Linked DNA regions of Canis lupus familiaris. The protein of the gene in region 1 interacts with the protein of each later gene in a biochemical or structural test. Links are inferred from orthologs where the notes say so. Each region holds a gene or a part of one and is shown in the gene's direction. Other genes may lie near its edges. The genes, in order: LDLR, APOE and MYLIP.

Evidence for each region.
Region 2: the proteins of LDLR (region 1) and APOE interact in a biophysical measurement, tested with the Homo sapiens proteins (2 studies listed by IntAct). The link is inferred for Canis lupus familiaris from reciprocal best matches to the Homo sapiens genes LDLR and APOE.
Region 3: of the proteins of LDLR (region 1) and MYLIP, one has a biochemical effect on the other in vitro, tested with the Homo sapiens proteins (4 studies listed by BioGRID, with this or other methods). The link is inferred for Canis lupus familiaris from reciprocal best matches to the Homo sapiens genes LDLR and MYLIP.

What each region holds. Positions count from the first base shown.
Region 1 is NC_049241.1:50,529,175-50,532,674, reverse strand, and holds part of LDLR (low-density lipoprotein receptor), read left to right. Parts: coding exon 1-69; intron 70-3,175; coding exon 3,176-3,347; intron 3,348-3,435; coding exon 3,436-3,500.
Region 2 is NC_049222.1:111,234,405-111,238,647, reverse strand, and holds the start of APOE (apolipoprotein E), read left to right. Parts: upstream 1-1,443; 5' UTR 1,444-1,552; exon of another isoform or gene 1,553-1,618; intron 1,619-2,301; exon of another isoform or gene 2,302-2,312; 5' UTR 2,313-2,320; coding exon 2,321-2,363; intron 2,364-2,857; coding exon 2,858-3,068; intron 3,069-3,382; coding exon 3,383-4,100; 3' UTR 4,101-4,243. UniProt on the Homo sapiens protein: APOE is an apolipoprotein, a protein associating with lipid particles, that mainly functions in lipoprotein-mediated lipid transport between organs via the plasma and interstitial fluids.
Region 3 is NC_049256.1:16,553,781-16,557,930, forward strand, and holds the start of MYLIP (E3 ubiquitin-protein ligase MYLIP), read left to right. Parts: upstream 1-1,350; 5' UTR 1,351-1,432; coding exon 1,433-1,519; intron 1,520-2,571; coding exon 2,572-2,762; intron 2,763-4,150. UniProt on the Homo sapiens protein: E3 ubiquitin-protein ligase that mediates ubiquitination and subsequent proteasomal degradation of myosin regulatory light chain (MRLC), LDLR, VLDLR and LRP8. Activity depends on E2 enzymes of the UBE2D family.

The sequences.
Region 1 (3,500 bases):
GCAGCTACAAGTGCGAGTGTGAGGAGGGCTTCCAGCTGGACCCCCACACCAAGGCCTGCAAGGCTGTGGGTGAGCAAGGGGTGGGACCAGTGGGGCAGGGGTGGGGCTGGTGGGGGGAGAAGGGCACACTGTGTCCTGCAGAGACCTCTGGCAGATGGATGAGCAGGCCAATTAGGAACTTTCTAGGAGGCTGCTCTCACATGTCTTGCTTCCCTGCAGACTCAGGTCAGTTGCATGAGTGCTGGTTTCTAGCCCTCAGCCCTGCCAGTGGCTTCAGGGTACAAGAGGTGAAAAGCCATGGCCTGAAGGGCCTGCACCCCCTCCAGCTGTTCTTTTTTTTTTTTTAAAGGGTGAGTTTTATTTCTATCAATACATCGGTAACATTCACCATTGTTGGGAACCAGCTTTATTTTTTTTAAGTGATATTGATAGATTTATTTTTATTTCTTTTAAAGATTTTATTTATTTATTTATGATAGTCACAGAGAGAGAGAGAGAGAGAGAGAGAGAGGCAGAGACACAGGCAGAGGGAGAAGCAGGCTCCATGCAGGGAGCCCGACATGGGATTCGATCCCGGGTCTCCAGGATCGCGCCCTGGGCCAAAGGCAGGCGCTAAACCGCTGCGCCACCCAGGGATCCCTTGATTTTTTTTTTTTTTTTTTTTAGATTTTATTTATTTATTCAGAGAGAGAGAGAGAGGCAGAGACACAGGCAGAGACACACGCAGAGAGAGAAGCAGGCTCCATGCAGGGAGCCCGACATGGGACTCGATCCCGGGTCTCCAGGATCACGACCCGGGCTGCAGGCGGCGCTAAACCGCTGCGCCACCGGGGCTGCCCCCCCTCCAGCTGTTCTTATTCACTTACAGGAACCTATACCCAAAAAGAAAATTCACTTAATACAGACCAAGGTATAATCTCTCATAAGAAAACCAAATCACAGGTCAGCCCGGGTGGCTTAGCGGTTTAGCACTGCCTTCAGCCCAGGGTGTGATCCTGGAGACCCGGGATTGAGTCCCACGTCAGGCTCTCTGTATGGAGCCTGCTTCTCCCTCTGCCTGTGTCTCTGCCTCTCTCTCTGTGTCTCTCATGAATAAATAAATAAAGTATTAAAAAAAACAAAACCTGCAGCAATAGTTGAGGTTCTTTTCTACCTAATCTAAGATTATAGGGTGCTTGGGTGGCTTAGTTGGTGAAGCATCTTCCTTTGGCTTGGGTGATGATCCCGGGGTCCTGGGATCGAGCCCACATTGGGCTCCCTGCTCAGTGGGGAGTCTGCTCCTCTGTCTCCCTCTGCCCCTCCCCTTGCTTGTGCTCTCTCTCTCTCTCTCTCTTTCTCAAATAAATAAAAACAAACAAACTTAAGATTAGAACGGCACTCATGCGCTGATTCTCAGAATCACCAAATCAAGAGATCCCATGTGTTTGGAGGCATAGCCAAACTTCCCTTTGCTTTGTGTCATGTCATTACCCACCTGTCTGATTCTAATGAGGTACAAGTTTGCAGAAATATTTTAGATCAACTTCTGTTTCCTCAAGGTCTGTTTTAGCCTTGAAGTCTTTCTCCTGTGTTATCACCCCTTTTGTGACGGTTCCTTGGCCTCCCTTGCTCATACCCCCACACATTTCCCAGTTTTGGGGAAAACCAAAGACTGAGCTCATGAAACCCTCTAGGATTTGAAGTTTCACTTTCCTTCCAATATCTATGGGCTGATGTCTATACAGGTGCCTTTCAGGGGGTAAGGGGCACATGGTGTCGTGGGAAGGGGTATTCTGAGCGAGGTCCATTGTACACATGGTTAGCTTGTTGGTGAATATTGGCATCATGGTTAACAGCAGAGTCCCCAGGGACAGGGCAATGTGTGTTCAAATTCCAGCTCTGCCACTTACTAGCTGGTATGACCTTGGGCTAGTCCCTTCTCCTCTCTGAGCTTCAATCCCCTCACATACAATGGGAGTTTGACAGTAGCCCTGGTCTCATAGGAGTGTGAGGACCAATGAGGGAAAATATAATAGGAAAAGCACTTAAGCAGAATTTCCTGCCCTAAGGAATAGCTCTATACACATTAGCTGTTAATGTTTCTTCTTCTTCTTCTTCTTTTTTTAAAGATTATTTATTTATTTGAGAGAGAGAGAGCAAGCATGAACGGGGTGGAGCAGAGGGAGAGGGAGAAACAGGCTCCCCACTGAGCAGGGAGCCTGACGCAGGGTTCCATCACAGAATCCTGAGATCATGACCTGAACTGAAGGCAGACACTTAACCGACTGAGCCACCTAGATGCCCTTCGTTTCTTCATCTTTACGTTCCAAAATGTAAAATGCTGGGGCCCCAGTGTGGATTTTATTACCAATGTAGGCTTTATTATCATTCAAGTATGGCAAGGCCAACCAATCAGGAGACGGCCACCATTGAAATGATCGGTTGTTACTCACAGTTCCCAAGAGGAGGGCCATGGCAGCCAGGCGGCCAGCTGGGGAAGCACCAGGGTCAGTCAGGAGGTGGAGGAAGAGAAGGGGGATCACATGGGCCAGAGCCTCCCTTATGGTTTCCTTGGGCATGAGGTGAAGCAGGGTGAGCAAGCTCAGGACTAGGTAGTCTGAATAATCTCAGCGGGCTCTGGGGCAGAGCGGCTGCCCCTGGTTGTCTGGTACCTGCCCTGTGGTGACTGAAGCAGGCGGAGGGGTTGCGACCCAGAGCGTGAGAGCCCAGTGGAGGGGTGGCGGACATGGGCTGGAGAGTTTGCTTTCAAGGCAAGTCATGAACCATCCCTAGGAGCTGGTTGGCCCTGGGAGGGGCTGTCCTTTCAGGCTCTGCAAGGCCTCGGATGTCAGAGCATCAGAACCACATGGTCTTGTTTTGTTTTTAGATTTTATGTATTTATTCATGAGAGACACAGAGACAGAGGCAGAAATATAGGCAGAGGAGAAGCAGCCTCCATTTGGGGAGTCTGATGCGTGACTTGATTTCTGGGAACCAGAGATCACAACCTGAGCCAAAGGCAGACACTGAACCACTGAGCCACCCAGGTGCCCCTGGAGCCACATGGTTTATACACCAACGAGGCATTTCCCATGGCATCCTGGGTGTCTCCCCTGGTTCAGCCAGACCCCCCAAGGGTGACAAGCTCGAGTCAGGGGGCCTTCTGCTCCCCTGAGCATCCTTCCTGTGTCCCCAGGCAACATCGCCTACCTCTTTTTCACCAATCGCCATGAGGTGAGGAAGATGACTCTGGACCGCACCGAATATACCAGCCTCATCCCAAACTTGAAGAACGTCGTCGCCCTGGACACAGAGGTGGCCAGCAACAGAATTTACTGGTCCGACCTGTCCCAAAGGAAGATCTACAGGTGAGCCTTGGAGCTCCACCCAGCCCCCTAACCCAGGTGAAACAGGCCCCTCGTACTGACGTTCTGCTCCCCCTTCTCCCACTGACAGCACCCAAATCGACAGAGCCCCCAGCTTCTCCTCCTATGACACCGTCATCAGCGAGGACCTCCAGG
Region 2 (4,243 bases), on another chromosome or scaffold:
GATGGCTGGGGGTGGGGGGGCGCTGATGTGCGGGGGACCTCTTCGTGACTGGAGGGTTGGAGCTTTCAGAAGCTTCTGAAGGATTCCAGCACCTGGAAAGACTTCAGAATCCATTAGCTACTCCTCAGGGGGCAAAGGGCTTCTGGGCCTGGGGTGGGGGGACGCTGGAGTCTGACTCCAGGCTGGCTCCAGATGCCTCCTTGGCACGGAGACGGGGAGGACATAGAGGTGTGGCTTGTGCCCACCTCAGGTTCCAGTAAACTCACACTCCTGACCTCTCCAGACCGGAACTGAAACCACACACATAATGGGCTTTGGAGAGGGAGGCCATTGAGCAGAGATGACCCCTCATCACCCAGGGAAGCCACCCCTGCTCATTTCCTGCCGGCGCCCTTTGAGGCCAAAGCAAACAGGCCCAGGCCTGGCTGCTGTCCTGGGACCAGTCTTTGGGCCTCCATGGACCCCACGGCACCCAGTGTTCACGCACCCTTGAGGCAGCAGGCATGAAGCTCGGCCCTACTTTGCCGTGTGGCCTCACCCACCTCAACCTGGGCTTCTCTGGGGAACAGCCAGGACTCCAAGCGGGCTGCTAGCAAGGTGACGGTCTCGACGTGGCCAATCAGAGCAGCTGGCCCCGTCTGCCCCAGGAACAGTTCTCGGGATTTCGTGCACTCAGCAGCTTGCATCACCGAACGGTGGTGTAAGTGGGACCATTTTCCTGGTTTTGTGGAGCAAGGAGTAGGGTGGTGAGAGAAGCTCGATCGCTTGCCCAAGGTCATGCAGCTGGCAGGAACCCGGTTTCGGCCCAGAGTCCGCAGTCCTAACCCGGCAGCCGGAGGGCTCCATAGCCCCGCGGAGGGCATCCTGCGGGGGCGCGCCGGGACCTACAATGTTCCTCCTAGGGAGGAGGGCTGGATCTGCATTTTGGAAATGCGAAGCGGGACTCAGAGAGGTGCTCGCCTGTGCCCGAGGTCACAGCCAAAGGGGAAGCTAGGATTAAAACCCAGGTTTACACAGTGCCCCCCCATCCCTTCTGGGTCTGGGCCTCTGGTCCTGCTCTCCCTGAGTCCCAGGAGTCTAGGCAGCACCCCCAGCCACCTCCCCTTGGAACCCAGGAATCCAAAACCCCAGCCTTCTCTTCGCCTCTGCCCCAGGATTTCAGCCCCCAGCCCCCTCTTCCAAATTTGATTCATCCATCAGAGAAAAGAAGGGGCGCGAAGGGGTGCCGGGGTCTGCCACAGCTCCTTCCCTGGCGTGCCTAGCCCCTCCGAGCGGAGGAGGGGGCCTGAGTTACTGAGATGTCACCTCCCTTCGTGGGGGCCAGGGTGGGGTGGAGGGGCATCACAGGGCCTCCAACCACCCCCCTCCTTCCCCCTGCCGGGTGTGGGAAGGGGTGGGGGAGAACAGCCCACCTCGTGACTGGGGGCCGGCCCAGCTCCCGGGCCGGGGAGGAGTGGGCGGGGCAGGGGGAACATTATAATTGGACGAGTCTGGTATCCCTGAGTCCTACTCAGCCCGAGCGGAGGCGAAGGAGGAGGATTCCCGGGAGCCGGTGAGAAACCGAGTTGAGGGCACAGAGACCAGCTCAGGGCTCCCGGGAGCGACGGGCTGGGGCGAGGTGACTGTCAGACGCGAGGACCGGGGCAGAGGCAGCAGCCGGGGAAGAGGATGCACGCAGGGGTCGGACCTAGGAGGAGGAGTGGGCCGCAAGAGCATCCCGTCCTGGCTGGAAGGTGGGGCGGGGGGAGCAGCTGGACCTCTCGAAGAACCGGATGAGCCAGGCCACGAATTGTCACTGCCATTCCTTGAGCGCTTCCCGGGTGACCCCTCAGATCTCCAGGGCTTGGAGGCCCAGGGGCGGCGCGAGGTGGCCAGAGCGCTCACCGGAGGACTTGTCAATGAGAATTAAGTTAGCTCATGGGTGGAACATGACGTTTAGATGTGAAGCTGGGGCTTAGAATGTGAAGGGAGGACGAGGAATGCGAGGTTGGAACTTAGAAGCCACGGTCGGGGCTCTCATGCAACTCGGGGCAGAGTGAGTGGAATTTGAACCCCTGGGAGAGGGGGATGGAATTTGGGCGGCGGAGGCCGACCTGGTGATGGGGAGATAGGAGGAGACAATGAGGGAGTTAAATCAACAACGGAGGGACCGCTCGGTAAATGTTTGTGATTGGATTCGGCCCGATGCAGACTTGGGGGCGCGGGCAAGACTCCGTGGGCCGCGAGCGGGTGGGGCGGGGCTCCGGGTGGGAGGGGTCCCCACTGGCTGCCCAGATTGACATTTCTCCCTCACTCGTACTGACCAATCGCAGGCTGGAAGATGAAGGTTCTGTGGGCTGCGCTGGTGGTCACGCTCCTGGCAGGTAGGTGGGCGGGGCTTGCTCAGGTTCCCTGCCCCTTCCTCGCATCCTCACCTGCACCCCGGGGTGGGCCCTTCTCTCATCCCTGGGTCCCACCTTCAGCTGATCTGTCTTCCCCTTGAGGGGAGGCCCAGGTCTGAGGCCTCCCATCCACTGGCTCTGAGCAGTTGTTTTACTCTCTCTGGGCCTCAGTTTCCCCATCCTTAAACCGGGAGTTAACAACAGTTCCTAATGCATTGTTGTCAGGCAGGTAGCGAGCCTTAGATTCGTGTCTGCCGTGAGTAGGTTTATTCCTCACGGCAACACGGCCCTGCACGGAGCAGACACAGATGCTCCACATGTGCCTGTCAGGTGAACTGGGCATCCCCCCACCGGCTCCCTGACGGCCAGTGCTCTAAAGCAAGCGCGGGAGCATATGTGGAGCACCTGCTGTATACGAGGCACTGCGGGCCTGGAGCGGGCCGGGAGGCTGACCGCCGCGAACTTGCTCTGTGCAGGATGCTGGGCCGATGTGCAGCCGGAGCCGGAGCTGGAGCGCGAGCTGGAGCCGAAGGTCCAGCAGGAGCTGGAGCCAGAGGCCGGGTGGCAGACTGGCCAGCCCTGGGAGGCGGCGCTGGCCCGCTTCTGGGATTACCTGCGCTGGGTGCAGACGCTGTCTGACCAGGTGCAAGAGGGCGTGCTCAACACCCAGGTCACCCAGGAACTGACGTGAGTGCCCCCTGACACTCCCGCTGGGCAGTTCCTCCTGGAGCGTCCGCCAGTCTGGGCATCTCTGCCCATGTCTCGATCCCTCTTTCCATCTCAAGCTCCTGGCTATGGACCCCTCTGACTCTCTCAGCTCCTCCTGCCCCTGGCCACCCCTCCGTCAGGCTAGCTCAATCCCTCGCACCCTTCCCTTTCATCCCCGCGTCTGGCCGTCCCTGCCCCCACCATGCCCTCCCGCACCACGGGGTTTTCTCCCTGTTCCCCGCCCCCCCCCCCCCAGCTCTGCACACACATGCTCCCGCCCTCTCGGACCCCAGGGCGCTGATGGATGAGACCATGAAGGAGGTGAAGGCCTACAAGGCGGAGCTGGACGAGCAGCTGGGCCCCATGACCTCGGAGACGCAGGCCCGCGTGGCCAAGGAGCTGCAGGCGGCGCAGGCCCGGCTGCGCTCGGACATGGAGGACGTGCGCAACCGCCTGACGCAGTACCGCGGCGAGCTGCAGGCCATGCTGGGCCAGAGCAGCGAGGAGCTGCGGGCGCGCTTCGCCTCCCACATGCGCAAGCTGCGCAAGCGGGTGCTGCGGGACGCCGAGGACCTGCAGAGGCGCCTGGCCGTCTACAAGGCCGGCGTGCGCGAGGGTGCCGAGCGCAGCGTGAGCAGCATCCGCGAGCGCCTCTGGCCGCTGCTGGAGCAGGCCCGCGAGCGCAACGCCAAGGTGGGCGCCCTGGCCACGCAGCCGCTGCTCGAGCGGGCCGACGCCCTGGGCCAGCAGCTGCGCGGGCAGCTGGAGGAGATGAGCAGCCGGGCCCGCGGCCACCTGGAGGAGATGCGCGAGCAGATACAGGAGGTGCGGGTGAAGATGGAGGAGCAGGCCGACCAGATACGCCAAAAGGCCGAGGCCTTCCAGGCGCGCCTCAAGAGCTGGTTCGAGCCCCTGCTGGAAGACATGCAGCGCCAGTGGGACGGGCTGGTGGAGAAGGTGCAGGCGGCCGTGGCCACCATCCCCACCTCTAAGCCTGTGGAGGAACCATGAGCGCCCCGCATGCCACCTGCTGGGCCTCCCCCAACTCCTTCCCGTGCCCCCTGCCTGCTCCCACCGGCCTCCAGGAGGCCTGCCCCTGCCCCCAGCTGTCCTCCTGAAAGGGCCCTAGCTTAATAAAGATTCACCAAGCTCCA
Region 3 (4,150 bases), on another chromosome or scaffold:
AGAGCAGATATTGTGCTTTCCATTTTACTGTTGAAAACACTGAACTTCAGAGAGATGAAGCAGGCTTTCCAAGGATCCAAGACTGAAACCCGCATCTCATTTCTCCTATAAAGAAACCAAAGAGTAGGCTAACTCGTGCATTGGCAAAAAGGAACAAGTAGTAAATGAGTGAAGACTAGGAGGCCTTTAATTACTAATAGCTACTGCTGAGGTTACCACCTGTTAGGTTCTGAGATAAGTCCCTAACCTTCAAGATGGGGATAACATCTGGTTGCCTGAGAGAAGGGACCGGCAGCACAGCAAGTGCTCAATTAACGTTTAATGAATGAATAACGCACGAGACAGGATGAACGAGAGAGGGCCTTGGAGCCCCATAAGGTGTTTTGATTCAGTACAACCTGTAAACAGAAGCTTCTGGAGAAGATTTATGCTGAAGTGCTAGATCCAGCTCCACGCTAGATGCAGCTCAGTGGTCAACTGAAAAAAAAAAAAAAAAAAAAGATTTTATTTATTCATTCATGAGAGACGCAGAGAGAGACAGAGAGCGGCAGAGACACAGGCAGAGGGAGGAGCAGGCTCCCTGGGGGATTCGATTCCACGACCTGAGCCGAAGGCAAATGCTCAACCACTGAGCCACACAGGTGGCCCTGCAAAAAAAAACAAAAAACAGAAAAACTTTTATACTCAGATTTTTTTTTTCCCCCACCGCCGAGGTCTAAAATGAGGAGCGATCCTTCCGCCTTCCAACAGCCCACGGCGGCAACCCCCGGGGGGGCGCGGGGGCAGTTTGCTCCGGGCTCGGGGGTTGCTCCCTTTGCCTTGGACGTTCACCTCCCGTAGGCGTTCTCGCAGCGACCCAAGGCTCCTGGAGAACGGTGGATCCCAGGCAGGCAGAGGGGCGCCCCAGCCCCGGGGCCGCTCGCCCGGCTCGGAGCAGCGTCGCGCAGCGGGCGGGGGCGGGGGCGGGGGCGGGGGCGGGGGCGGGGGCGGGGGCGGGGACGGCCGGGCCCCGGACCCCGGGCCCCCTCCCCGCGCAGCCCTCCGCGCCCGCACGCCGCCACCTCCCGGGCCGCCCGGGGGAACTCAGCCGCGGCCGAGCGGGCGCCGCTATTGGCTGGCCCGGCGGCGGAGGCGGGGCGCGGCCGCTGATTGGCTGGGGCCGCCGCCGGAGGGGGCGGGGCCACTATATGAGCGGAGTCCCCGGCGCGCCGCAGGCAGTCGGGCTGCTGGAGTGCGGCGCCGCCGCGGGGACCCGGGCGGGCGGGCGGCCGGCGCGCGGGCGGAGGGCGGGGGCGCGGGGCGGCGGTCTGCGGCGCTGCAGCCTCCCGGGGGCCAGCGTCGCCGAGCCCGGGGCTGCCTGTGAGCCGCGGCGAGGCGGCAGCCCCGCGCGCACAAGGAGGAGGCGGCCGCGGCGGCAGCGCCGGCCCCAGCCATGCTGTGCTATGTGACGAGGCCGGACGCGGTGCTGATGGAGGTGGAGGTGGAGGCGAAAGCCAACGGCGAGGACTGCCTCAACCAGGTGACGGCCGGGGCCGGGCGGGGGCGGCGGTCCCCAGAGGCCGAGGGGCCTCGCGGCGGCGCCAGGAGCCTCCCGGGGAGCGGACGGCGCTGCGGCGGCCCGGCGGGGAGCGCCCCCCCCCTCCTCCTCCTCCTCCTCCTCCTCCTCCTCGCGGCCGTGGGGCCCGCGGTCCCCGCAGGCTGGCAGCGCGCAGGGGGGGGGGGCGGGGGGGACGCGCGCGGCGGGCTGCCCCCCCCCCCCCCAGCCCCGCACTTTCCCGGAAGAAGGCGGCCCGGCACACCTGCCGCAGGTGTGTGCATGATGCCGCCTGTCGGGTCCCCCGCGGGGTCTGGCGGTGCCACCTGAGCCCCCAGATGAGGTGGCTGCTGGGCAGACAGGCGACGCTCTTGTCTCTTGCTGCTTCTCCAATGCACCGTCCACCTGCACCTCCCGGTTTGCGGGGCCCCGGAGGGCCGCGGGTTTGGGTCACCCACTCCGTCGCCTTGAAAGCACGCATTCCCCTTAGGAGTAACGACGAATGGCTCGAAACTGCACGTTGGTATGACAGACAGAAAACCTGGTCTCAAGGGGAACGCTGTGCCCTCAAACCCCCTAGACCTGAGCTGTGTGGAAAACCTCCTAGCTGACACTTGTGGCGTGTTTCCTCACCGTGTTTGTTTCTTGGAGTCCAGATGGTTAAAATTGTCCAGATAATCTGCCAAATCAGCGGTGCGGATTGTGCTGGTGGAGGGGATTCCGGTGATTGGAATAAGAGAAAATAACCCTGTAGATTGCCTCCCTCGGCCTTTCTGGAAGGCTACTCTCGAGGACTCCTTTCTCCCTACTGCAGTTGACGGTGTCCTAGGTGTTAAAGGAAGCACAAAGCCTCTCTGTTGGTTTAACAACACTGGGACCTTAGAACTTTGTTCTTACAGCTTAAGGCAGGAATTGTAGCACCTTTGTTGAACGTTGTGAAAAGCAGGCAGGAAGCTTGCACCCAGACGGTGTCCTTGGGTTTGCTTTGACCACATGGACCATTTGCTCATCCGTATTGCACTCCTTTTCTGTTCTAGGTGTGCAGGCGGCTGGGAATTATAGAAGTTGATTACTTTGGACTGCAGTTTACGGGTAGCAAAGGCGAAAGTTTATGGCTAAATCTGAGAAATCGGATCTCCCAGCAGATGGATGGGCTAGCCCCTTACCGGCTTAAACTGAGAGTCAAATTCTTCGTGGAACCTCATCTCATCTTACAGGAGCAGACGAGGTAAAGTGGCACTGAAATAAACCAATGTCACATACATAGACCTTTGATTCCGTTTAGAAAGGGCTGTTGCACCTCCCCAGAGATGTTCACAGGCAAACGTGGTTGACACAGAGTGAGTTGGTTCCTAACTGAGAAGTTTTCCACGGCTCAGCCCTTTTGTTGAGGTGAAGAGGGAACCGCCTAGTTGGCCTGGGGTATGTTTTCTGTCTCTTGTGGTTTTTTTTTTTGTCTTTATAAACAACAAGGGGCAGGGCTGGATTCTTGTGAACGCTGGAGATCAGTGCCACAAGGCAGAAAAAAAAAAAAGGTTAAAAAACCCAACTGACTTCCTGATAGCCGCATCAAATGCCCGATAGTAACCTCTGCCTCAGCAGTGTTACTACAGGTCATTGTAGAGGGTTCTAACAGAAAGCAGGAAACAGTTCCTCTTGGGTTACTTAAACTTGGTCAATTTAAGCCTAGTGTCAAATTACAACATGTAGCAAAGCGCTCCATCTGACTTCATGCAGAATTTTGGAAGTTTTTAAGCATCTTGAAATCTTAGTAGAAAAACACTGTAGGGCCGGTGTAACGGAACTTGAACCCACACATCTGTAACACAGGATTGTTTAGATTTGACTTTATCTCTTTACTTGTAGAAAACCACCAGCAGTGGTAGACAACTGGAGCACGTGGGTGCCTTTTTCAAACAGAAAATGTTTTCTCCCCCTGGACTGTCTGTAGTACTTTTCAAGGATGAGCCAAATTAGGAAACTGGCATTCAGTATTTATTGCTGAAATGCAAGAGACCTGAATCTTATAGTGGCATGTTAAGAAAAAAAAGAAAGGAAGAAAACGACTTTTAAAGACAACAAACTTTGGATCTGAGTTCTGATATTTTTCATAATCCTTTGGGTTGGAAATTCACCACACATGAAAAATGTGTGACAATCTCAAGGTATGATAAGTGAGCAAAATCCTTTAAGGGTTCTCATGTCTTTTTTTTTTTTTTTTTTCTTCTCCTCTGCTGAAGGACTGATGGAAACATATTTTGAAATACTGTTCATTTGAATTTGAAATGTCTCTTCTACCTGGTTAGGGAGCTTTAAACAGTGAGGGAGATGTTCAGTTTTATTTCTGAGGCAAGCTAGTATATCAAATTCTTAGTGTTCTTGGAAATCTCTTGCAAAATATTCACATGATTGCATGTGTAGTAAGGCTGTTTTAGCTGTTTATGTTAATCAGAATAGGTTGTGTTTTGTTTTTGTTTTTTTACCTTAAAGCAGACTTGTGAAGGTTTCCACTCTGTACTTCAAGATAATGGAGTAGAGTAAGAGAAGAGGACACACACACACACACACACACATATTACAACACATTGGACTTTTCATTGTGTAGTTTTATCATGG